Saccharomyces cerevisiae S288C: one gene and its partners. The protein of the gene in region 2 binds, or shares a complex with, the protein of the main gene of each other region. Each region holds a gene or a part of one and is shown on either strand. Other genes may lie near its edges. A codon is read from its position in the direction of its gene.

Region 1 (2,454 bases), on a different chromosome or scaffold from region 2:
GGAAGGGGGTGCACAGAACAGCAGTCCTTTAGAGGATACTACAGTAGAAAGCTAGAGTCCTGACTTACAACTTGAGCATGCCGTTATGGGCGGCTATTTCATTTCACCTGAACCGTATTAAAATATCATCTTCCTTGCTGCTACAACCTTCATTGTAGCCGGTTTATAAGATTACCATCATTGTCTACCCCTCTTTAACTTCTCCCGAAAAGCAGAGTTGCCCTTAGCTGTATCCTGTTCTAGCTGTGCTAAACTGTACGTTCTTATTAAGCCCATCCTCGTCCGCTGGGCTCACCCAGCGCCTTACATACTTTGCGAAAAAGTCGTTTTTCTGCTTGGTGTTAGGAGCTGTCTCCCATAGTGTAAACTCCCAGTATTGCCTCAACCTCACTTGCTGTACTTTATAGTTGCCGCGCCACCTAAAAAAAAAAACAAAAAAGACACCACCTAAAAAAACGGGTGAGGGGAATGCACGTGACCCAGGTGCGGGTACCATATAAATGTACTTCTAAAATTGTCTACACAGCTTATAATGCTATATATGCAGGTTACTATTATATACAAACAGCACAGACAGTCCTCATATTTACAGCTATTTTTTGGAATCATCAGCTATTTCTTTGGCCACAAATCGCGAATAATGTCGTAGCTGATTCTCTGGCCCGAAACCTCGTGTTTGTACAAATCCTCCAATGAGGCGATTGCTGTAATGCATCTTTGCCACACATCTGTCTATGCAGCATTGCTCACCTTTCGTTAGATCAGGCTCACCAAAGCCCTCATGCGGAATACATTTCTCAAGACACGTACTGAGAATATTGTTGAAAGTCGAGCACATCGCATCGAATTGCACTCCTGCAACGTCTAGCTTCTCTTGCGAGACCTCCTGGTTGCCCCTTAGACTATTTAAAAAGAACGACATCCTTTTCTTGGTGCACTTTAATATTATACGGGAGCTCCGATATCTATTTCAGCAATATAGACTACAATCAACTTTGCTGTTCTTACTTTTTAGTTAACTTTTTTCTTTTCATTCTGCCGCTAATCTACAAACTCGTTACCCTACTAGTACATAAAAGAAGATCAGAATCGATGGGTATTTATTTATATTTGCAATATTATTTATTTATACAATTTATTGTTTTAATAGGGTATCGTTGTAGTGAGTAGTATTCCAGTCCCAGTAGAAGGTCAATTCGGTGACGTTACTGACACTGCTGACGTTACAGACCTTTAGGAAGTCAGTACCAGCTACTCTCTTTTCAGCATAGTCGTAGAAATCATTGATTTCACAAGAGAACCCTGGGCCGGTGGAACAGGTTTCAATTGGAACGACAGCATCGTTAATGACGTATCTGACGTAGGTGTCGTTAGAACATTGGAATTTTTCGGTGTAGACACGAGCACCTTGAGGAACGTACCAGGACTTATGGAAGGTGTTGCCCATGAATGGAACGTATTCGGCAGTTAAGTTGTTTTTGTCGTCAATTATACCAGCGGTGGTCAAATAGTTTAGGATATCGGTATCGTGGGTAAAACTCAACCAGACTTTTAAGTCTTGAGTTTCACTTTGCTTTAACAACTTCAAAGTAGCGTTAAACAAGTTGGCACCGACGGATCTGATCATATCATAACCTGGTCCATCCTGGTAAAACGATACCAGGTCCTGGCCGTATGAGTAACGTACCAATTCATCTTCGGTGAAGATATCACAAACATCACTGTAGCCTCTAGCGTTCAATTCGTATGCACACCATGCAAACAAAGTGTTGGCGTCCTTTGAGGTCAAATTCAAACCCTTGTTTTCTTTGTTTAATCTCTTGGCAATGTCATCCAAGTATGTGGTATCGTATTTGTCCAAAATGTCATCGTTAGCATCTTCATCCCATCCTGGGCACGCATTACCAGCACTCAAAGTGTTTGCGCCGGCGGACATGGCTTCACTGACAGTCTGCAAGGAGATGTTGAATTGGTCACCTAAACCATCAATGAAATATTGAGCAGTGTCATGAACCCTTTCAGAACTAGCGGCGAAAATTGGGAAACTGGTTTGATTTTCGAACATGTAGCCATATTGCGCTAAAAACTCACGAGCATGTCTCTTAGCATCCATCTCACCAGTGTATGGATTCAAAACATTGTCTGAGTTGGCAAAAGTGGTTTCCATTTCCAAATCATCGTCATCACGGATGAAAAACTCGTAATCATCGTTCAAGAATGACAATGAGCCGTTGAATTGACGTGTGTAATTGCTCAACTTATACCATGTTTTCATGATGGTAGCACCTTTACTGTAAGTTGGGTATCTTTCACCATGTCTGGCAAGCATTTGCAATTGTTTCATTTCACAACCTTCAGGCAAGTCACGAGAAATACCATAGTCGCCAGGGAAAGAGAAGTATGGCCCGGCACCACCCAGGAATGGGAATATGTCTTCCTGAGTGCCAATTTTGG
Region 2 (5,160 bases):
GGTTTTTTTTTTCAATTGAGGAACATAAACCAAATAGATATATTATATCAACGTTATGAAACGAGTTACTGGAGTTTTCTTAACACTTTTGAGATTTTCTCAATTTGCATCATCGGTTTTGGTGATGTCACTTTTGGCGTATGCCATCCACGCCTATGGAAATAGAGGTAATAAGAAAACCAACTTCACATTGGCAACAGGTGTCATTAGTGTGTTTTATCTGATTGCCTTAGGTATTTTGTGTCTGGCCCTACCCACATTGATCTACATAGGAATGTACTTCTGTGCCGAATTGATCGTTTGTATGCTATGGCTAGCAGCTTTCGTTGTTCTTGCCAAAGCTCAAGGTGAACGTAGCTGTAGCAACACTAATGCAGACGGATTATACTATAATCCGTACAGTGGCCAATATACTGCTGACAGTCATAGAAGAGCATGTAATTCTTCTCAGGCGGCAATCGCCTTTTCTGGCCTTTGCTTTGTACTGTTTTTGATCAGTGTGATATTACTGGGAATTAATGTCTTAACACCTATCAGGAAGCGTTATCAAACCCAAGGAATGTGGAGAAGCGGCGCTTCTATGGGTACAAAGCTCCATAGGTGGAGCGGACTAGCTTTAAGCGAGCCTTTTGAAGAAACAGCTGCTTACGATAACACCAATGTTAGGACCGGTGATGTCGAAGCAGGTGCAGGTGATAATGCTGCTTACACATCTGAACCGAATGGCGACGCACGCTATGCAACTAATGACCCCAATGGGCAGTACCATACTACCACCACCAACACACGTTACACCACAACAACAGCGGACCCTAAGACGCGTTACACCACCAACGATCGTAATCCTGGTTCTGCGAATGTCGCTAACAGTGCAGTGGACCAGCACGCTTACTCTACGGATGAGTCAGGTGATCGGTCTTATCAAGAAAAGGTCACAGAAGGAGCTCACTCTGGCGCTATGAGTGGTAGCACTGCAGAACCAAACAGGAACGTCAATCAAATGCCATAAATTCAATGATTTCCTTTTTGTTCGTCTATACCCTTCACATACTTTTTCTTTTTCTTTTTCTTTTCTTTGCTTAACGATTTGAATTGCTCCTGTTCTAATAATGGCGTCGTCTTTTAGAAAATCCTTATCAGGTGTGAATAATGCTTAATTTTTTTTATATATAATGATTTACTTTTATTACTTCTTATTTTTATATTTTCCTCTGTCAAATATGTGACTGAAATCTTCCAATTTATTAATATTAAAGTGTGACTATCACTTGAGTTTAGCGACAGTCTCTAACGCCTCGAATTCATCGACATGGGAAAATTGGAAAGGGTATCGTTTTTACACTTCCCATTTTCTTCCAGCAAAAATGATCGGCCCAGAGTCTAGTTAAAGCATGATTAATTCTCCCAGGGAATTTTTTTGCTTTACTAGTAACAGTAGTTCTGGAAATTATTAAGCGTTCTTAAATTCTGGGACGGTCGTGCAGAATATTAAGATAGGTGATATTTACAAATATAAAACATTCATCGTTCGTCGAAATTGGCTATTCATTCTTTAAAATCGTTTTGAGGTGGTCTACCATCCTCACTTTTCATATACAAATCAATTGCAGCTGAAAAGGCAGCAAACCCGGCACCACCCATTAAGGCAGCTTGTGGTCCAGCTTTGTATGCCAGCCCAGCACCGGTAAAAAACCCTGCGGTTACTCCGTTGTAAATATCATTTTTAGCTCTAAGTGACTCTATGACACACTCCACCCCAGCATATATCATACCAATGTAGCCAAAATTCTTAGCACTAGAGTAGGATTTTTTACCCATATCGGTAAATTGAAGTTTCATTTGCTGCCGGAAAGGTAAATCAGATATTTGCTGAACTGTTCTTGATATTCCACCCACACCTATATTTCCCGCAGTTGCAGTTGCTGCTGTATTTGCAGGTGTAGGTGTATGAAGAGGTGTATCATATGCCATTGACGCCATGAACAGGCCTAAAACACCACCCAGTGCAAACCCTGTTACACCACTCACAACTGATTTTCCAGGACAGGAAGTCATGAAGTTCATGATCATTTCAGCACCCCGTTCACCCTGTTCTTCCGGAGTTAGTTCATTATAAGGTTTCTTTTGAGCTGGACTTATCTGCTCCAAACCAAATCCTGTGTACACCATCTTCGTATAAAGTATTTAAAATCACAATTTCTTGATCTTATTTGGCAGCTATCTCTACTATCCCGTTTAGTACTATCCCGTTTAGTAGTGACAGAAAAATAGTATTTTGTCCTGAAAAGCTTCGGATTTTATATGTACGAAATGGATCCGAGGAAATGCTGTCTGTTTTATTAGAGAATTAAGTTGACTGATGCATCGTCTTTCTCTTCAGTTGTAAGCTCGATGCCATTTTATCAGTAAGACCAAAAACCAACACATAACGGCGTACGAAAATATCAAATTGTCACCCGGTATAGATATACTTATAGAGATTCAAGAAGGAATAACTATTAAAAGTACGTTGCAGATAAACATAAGCTATTGCAGCGTCATTGGAGCAACGTTAGGAATTCATAATGTAAAGGTGTCCTTGTAAAAACGTAACCGCTCATATTGTTTTATCTTTGACGCAAGTATTCGATTTTTTGCTCTTGCATAATCTGTCTCCAAGACATTTCTCTGTAACATATCATTGCCCTCATCATGACATCTTTCCTGATTGCTGTTCATGCGTTTTTTAGAATTGTGAAAATTGTCGGTAGACCTGCTGCTTCTTTCCACGCGATTTACATGAATGCTCGGTTCGCCGTTTATGCACAGACTAGTGTCAGTACTGTCGAACTCGGTAAGGTTTCTATCTTCCATATCTACGTCACTAGTATTATCACCTGAAAACATGCTTCCAAAGGAGCTTGTTTCAGTGCTATCCCCCCTTTGCGTATTGAGGCAGAACTGAGACCTTGTTGAACGGTTTTGATAGTCAATGTTTTTTTTATTTTCGTTGCTAACACGTTCACTGGTAGTAGCCAACTTAATCCTTGTTCTAACATTTTTGGAATCCATCAAATAGCTATACTGCTTCATTGAATCGATCAATCTATTTAATGATATTTGTTCTGACTCATCATCCTCTATTACGCAATGTAAGTTTAACTTTGTTTCAAATAGCGCTCGGTTCAATTCTGAATCAAATATGATTGTTTCTAGTTCATAGTATGAAGTGGCACTATTATCATCACTTTTACTTTCTATTGTCCTAAATGCACCCATTCTTAAAATTTTATCTTCCAGACTTTTCAAGGGATCGACCACAATTGCGACATATGGATCTTGGAATCTCTGGTTCAAATCCTGGGTTTGGATATCTATATTACTTAACCAACAGTCGTAACCAGGATGTGAATGGAACCAGCCAACAACATTCAGTTTAGCGCCCTTGTAATCTCGCCCATCACCACCGTCATTATGATTATACATCTCGTCGATATATTGAACCATATATTCGTATGACTCCAATTGTGCATTTACGCGAGTTTCTGTCCCTACTACGGGAAGATTGAAACAATCCATTACAACAATATTATCTTTTAATGTGAACCCCATTAATATGCCCATGATTTCAATATTTCCTCCACGAACTGCATAATGGGTGATCTTTTCACATGATAATTTTGATATAAGTACGTGGGTGTAACTCGGAATATCTGTACTACTTTGTTGTTTTAGTTTAGTTTTGAGCAAGGAAGATTGGCTTAGCGCATGAAATTCAGGTTCTTGCGACGGCTTGAATCGCATACTTGATAGCGCTATAGATTCAGTTAGTTCATCTTCCACGGTGTACCTTTCCTTTAGTAGTTGTCGTAATTCCTTTACAGTCTTATTTGAAAGTGACATGCTGCCTCCTGCAGTTTTTATTGATTTTCGATCGTTGTTATTCATTTTTAGTTTATTTGAAAAACCCTTTAATAAGAGCGCTTCCTGCGTAGCGCGCCTTTCCTAAAGTTTCAGCTGAAGCATGGCTCCCTGAGGAGAACTGCCTAGTATAATGGATAACTCGAAGGAAAAAATATCAAATGCTTTTTTTAGATTAAAAATAATGGACATATAAACAACTTTACTTAGTACACAATAAAACGCTGAGAAGAACATACACATATGTTTAATTTTCTTTTCTGACGGCAGAACTAATTTATACAAAACAATTTTATTGAAGCTCAAGCACTTGCCTCCGCTTCTCTTTTTAACCCACCAATAAATTCCAAGAATTTTCCAATGTTAACATCGATACCGTTCTGGTAAACAAAAGTGCTTGATAAGTAACTCGACAGAAGAACTTTCAAATAGCTCTCTGGAATGTTTTCCAATACGGACTGAGGCCCAGCAACATCAATCAGAATTTTTGGAATTATTTTATCCAACAATAGGTAGTTTCTTAATTTTAGATCATTGAGCCACAACTCTTGAGAAGCAACTAGATCGTCGTTCAATTTGTTTATAGTGAAGGACAATTGGTTTGAAATTTCTGAAATGTGGGTTCCATTTAGTTGATTCAAATTCCATAACTGACCAAACTCTAATTCAGCATTTTTCTGAATTCTTGACTGCACTTCTACAACGTACGACTTGTACAACGCAGACCTCTCACCACTAACATCTCCAATAAATTTGTGCACGAAGTCGTTATCGTTAAGCGCTAGTGAGGCCAACACTTCCATTGATGAAGATGTGACACCACCTTTGTTTGCAGAAGCATCTTTGAACAGAATACAGCCATGTTCCTCCAAAGCATTTTTAGCAGGTTGCGTTATAAATAGATTGGCACCCTCCACAATATATGGAATTTTACATTTCCCAGTCTTTTCGTCAACAAAATAATGTAGATTATTTAGAGTAATTGAGTTTGGTCTACCACCGCATGGAACAAAAATGTCGACATGATCCACAAATTTGAAAATTTGAGTATGAAAGGTGTTTCTGAAGGTTGTGCCGTTAGCTACAATTGTACCATTTGGTAGCATGATATCCATTGCATCCACAGAAACAAAAAATCCGTTGTTTGATAATTTGGAAGTGTCGAAATCGGAAATCATTTTCCTTTCATGTGCCAAGCGGCATAATTCATCTTTATCTAAACCTTTAGGATCACACAGGACACCTGAACCGTCCAGAATT
Region 3 (2,432 bases), on a different chromosome or scaffold from region 2:
GGGAACGAAACTCTGGGAGCTGCGATTGGCAGTGGAACAGTGGTAATTCCTACGATTAAGAAACCTGTTTACAGAAGGATCCCCACCTATGGGCGGGTTATCAGATATTATCAGGTGGGAAATTCGGTGGAACACAGTGGAGCCTTGTCCTCCGGGTTAATGTCGCTTTTGGCATTGGCCCCTGCTCCTGAGAGAAGAAATATACTGGGGAACCAGTCTTTACCGACCGTTGTTATCAGAAATTCACGGAGTTCGGCCTAGGTCGGACTCCGATGGGAACGGCAACGGTTGTTCCGTTTGACTTGTCGCCCGCTACGGCGTGAGCGTCAAGGTCTGTTGAGTGCAATCGTAGGACGTCATTAGTGGCGAACCCGATACCGATTACTGCTGCTGTTCCAGCCCATATCCAACTTCCAATTTAATCTTTCTTTTTTAATTTTCACTTATTTGCGATACAGAAAGAAAAAAGCGATAGTAACTATTGAATTTTGTTTGGATTTGGTTAGATTAGATATGGTTTCTCTTTATATTTACATGCTAAAAATGGGCTACACCAGAGATACATAATTAGATATATATACGCCAGTACACCTTATCGGCCCAAGCCTTGTCCCAAGGCAGCGTTTTGTTCTTGGAAACGCTGCCCTACACGTTCGCTATGCTTCAAGAACTTTTCTGAGCACTTCATGATGCATGTTTGTTCCTTATTGGTTAGCTTTGATGTTGTGAAGTCATTGACACAGTCTGTGAAACATCTTTCTACCAGATTAGAGTACAAACGCATGAAATCCTTCATTTGCTTTTGTTCCACTACTTTTTGGAACTCTTGTTGTTCTTTGGAGTTCAATGCGTCCATCTTTACAGTCCTGTCTTATTGTTCTTGATTTGTGCCCCGTAAAATACTGTTACTTGGTTCTGGCGAGGTATTGGATAGTTCCTTTTTATAAAGGCCATGAAGCTTTTTCTTTCCAATTTTTTTTTTTTCGTCATTATAGAAATCATTACGACCGAGATTCCCGGGTAATAACTGATATAATTAAATTGAAGCTCTAATTTGTGAGTTTAGTATACATGCATTTACTTATAATACAGTTTTTTAGTTTTGCTGGCCGCATCTTCTCAAATATGCTTCCCAGCCTGCTTTTCTGTAACGTTCACCCTCTACCTTAGCATCCCTTCCCTTTGCAAATAGTCCTCTTCCAACAATAATAATGTCAGATCCTGTAGAGACCACATCATCCACGGTTCTATACTGTTGACCCAATGCGTCTCCCTTGTCATCTAAACCCACACCGGGTGTCATAATCAACCAATCGTAACCTTCATCTCTTCCACCCATGTCTCTTTGAGCAATAAAGCCGATAACAAAATCTTTGTCGCTCTTCGCAATGTCAACAGTACCCTTAGTATATTCTCCAGTAGCTAGGGAGCCCTTGCATGACAATTCTGCTAACATCAAAAGGCCTCTAGGTTCCTTTGTTACTTCTTCCGCCGCCTGCTTCAAACCGCTAACAATACCTGGGCCCACCACACCGTGTGCATTCGTAATGTCTGCCCATTCTGCTATTCTGTATACACCCGCAGAGTACTGCAATTTGACTGTATTACCAATGTCAGCAAATTTTCTGTCTTCGAAGAGTAAAAAATTGTACTTGGCGGATAATGCCTTTAGCGGCTTAACTGTGCCCTCCATGGAAAAATCAGTCAAGATATCCACATGTGTTTTTAGTAAACAAATTTTGGGACCTAATGCTTCAACTAACTCCAGTAATTCCTTGGTGGTACGAACATCCAATGAAGCACACAAGTTTGTTTGCTTTTCGTGCATGATATTAAATAGCTTGGCAGCAACAGGACTAGGATGAGTAGCAGCACGTTCCTTATATGTAGCTTTCGACATGATTTATCTTCGTTTCCTGCAGGTTTTTGTTCTGTGCAGTTGGGTTAAGAATACTGGGCAATTTCATGTTTCTTCAACACCACATATGCGTATATATACCAATCTAAGTCTGTGCTCCTTCCTTCGTTCTTCCTTCTGCTCGGAGATTACCGAATCAAAAAAATTTCAAAGAAACCGGAATCAAAAAAAAGAACAAAAAAAAAAAAGATGAATTGAAAAGCTTTATGGACCCTGAAACCACAGCCACATTAACCTTCTTTGATGGTCAAAACTTATCCTTCACCATAAATATGCCTCGCAAAAAAGGTAATTAACATATATAGAATTACATTATTTATGAAATATCATCACTATCTCTTAGCATCTTTAATCCTTTTCTACATCAGATAACTTCGGTTTGTTATCATCGTCTGTATTGTCATCAATTGGCGCAGTAGCCTCAATTTCAACGTCGTTTGACTCTGGTGTTTGTTCATGTGCAGATCCATGAGATGATGAACCGTTGCCCTTCTCAATACTCTTCTTATCAAGT

What was found. The genes of interacting proteins can lie anywhere in the genome.
Region 1: the proteins of TIM22 (region 2) and TIM12 are in contact, whole or in part, in a cryo-EM structure (PDB 6LO8), measured with the Saccharomyces cerevisiae proteins. Residues at the interface, in NP_010064.1 of Saccharomyces cerevisiae: Ser41 (codon at 2,049), Cys141 (codon at 1,749), Glu144 (codon at 1,740), Ser145 (codon at 1,737), Leu146 (codon at 1,734), Arg147 (codon at 1,731), Ala148 (codon at 1,728), Lys149 (codon at 1,725), Asn150 (codon at 1,722), Asp197 (codon at 1,581), Gly198 (codon at 1,578), Arg199 (codon at 1,575); in NP_009649.1 of Saccharomyces cerevisiae: Cys44 (codon at 793), His47 (codon at 784), Glu48 (codon at 781), Gly49 (codon at 778), Phe50 (codon at 775), Gly51 (codon at 772), Thr56 (codon at 757), Lys57 (codon at 754), Gly58 (codon at 751), Glu59 (codon at 748), Cys61 (codon at 742), Cys62 (codon at 739), Arg65 (codon at 730).
Region 3: the proteins of TIM22 (region 2) and TIM9 are in contact, whole or in part, in a cryo-EM structure (PDB 6LO8), measured with the Saccharomyces cerevisiae proteins. Residues at the interface, in NP_010064.1 of Saccharomyces cerevisiae: Glu196 (codon at 1,584), Asp197 (codon at 1,581), Arg199 (codon at 1,575), Pro200 (codon at 1,572), Pro201 (codon at 1,569), Gln202 (codon at 1,566), Asn203 (codon at 1,563), Asp204 (codon at 1,560), Phe205 (codon at 1,557); in NP_010894.1 of Saccharomyces cerevisiae: Thr37 (codon at 748), Asp38 (codon at 745), Cys39 (codon at 742), Asn41 (codon at 736), Asp42 (codon at 733), Phe43 (codon at 730), Thr44 (codon at 727), Lys51 (codon at 706), Glu52 (codon at 703), Cys55 (codon at 694), Lys58 (codon at 685).

Annotation. Positions count from the first base shown.
Region 1 is NC_001134.8:426,563-429,016, forward strand, and holds TIM12 (Tim12p), read right to left. Parts: upstream 923-2,454; coding exon 593-922; downstream 1-592. Other genes in the region: YBR090C (uncharacterized protein), read right to left, coding at 312-496; acid phosphatase PHO3, read right to left, coding at 1,136-2,454. UniProt on the Saccharomyces cerevisiae protein: Essential component of the TIM22 complex, a complex that mediates the import and insertion of multi-pass transmembrane proteins into the mitochondrial inner membrane.
Region 2 is NC_001136.10:66,438-71,597, forward strand, and holds TIM22 (translocation channel protein TIM22), read right to left. Parts: upstream 2,170-5,160; coding exon 1,546-2,169; downstream 1-1,545. Other genes in the region: YDL218W (uncharacterized protein), read left to right, coding at 56-1,009; COP9 signalosome catalytic subunit RRI1, read right to left, coding at 2,560-3,882; GDH2 (glutamate dehydrogenase (NAD(+))), read right to left, coding at 4,203-5,160. UniProt on the Saccharomyces cerevisiae protein: Essential core component of the TIM22 complex, a complex that mediates the import and insertion of multi-pass transmembrane proteins, such as mitochondrial carrier family members, into the mitochondrial inner membrane.
Region 3 is NC_001137.3:115,635-118,066, reverse strand, and holds TIM9 (protein transporter TIM9), read right to left. Parts: upstream 857-2,432; coding exon 593-856; downstream 1-592. Other genes in the region: URA3 (orotidine-5'-phosphate decarboxylase), read right to left, coding at 1,097-1,900; Arf family guanine nucleotide exchange factor GEA2, read right to left, coding at 2,267-2,432. UniProt on the Saccharomyces cerevisiae protein: Mitochondrial intermembrane chaperone that participates in the import and insertion of multi-pass transmembrane proteins into the mitochondrial inner membrane.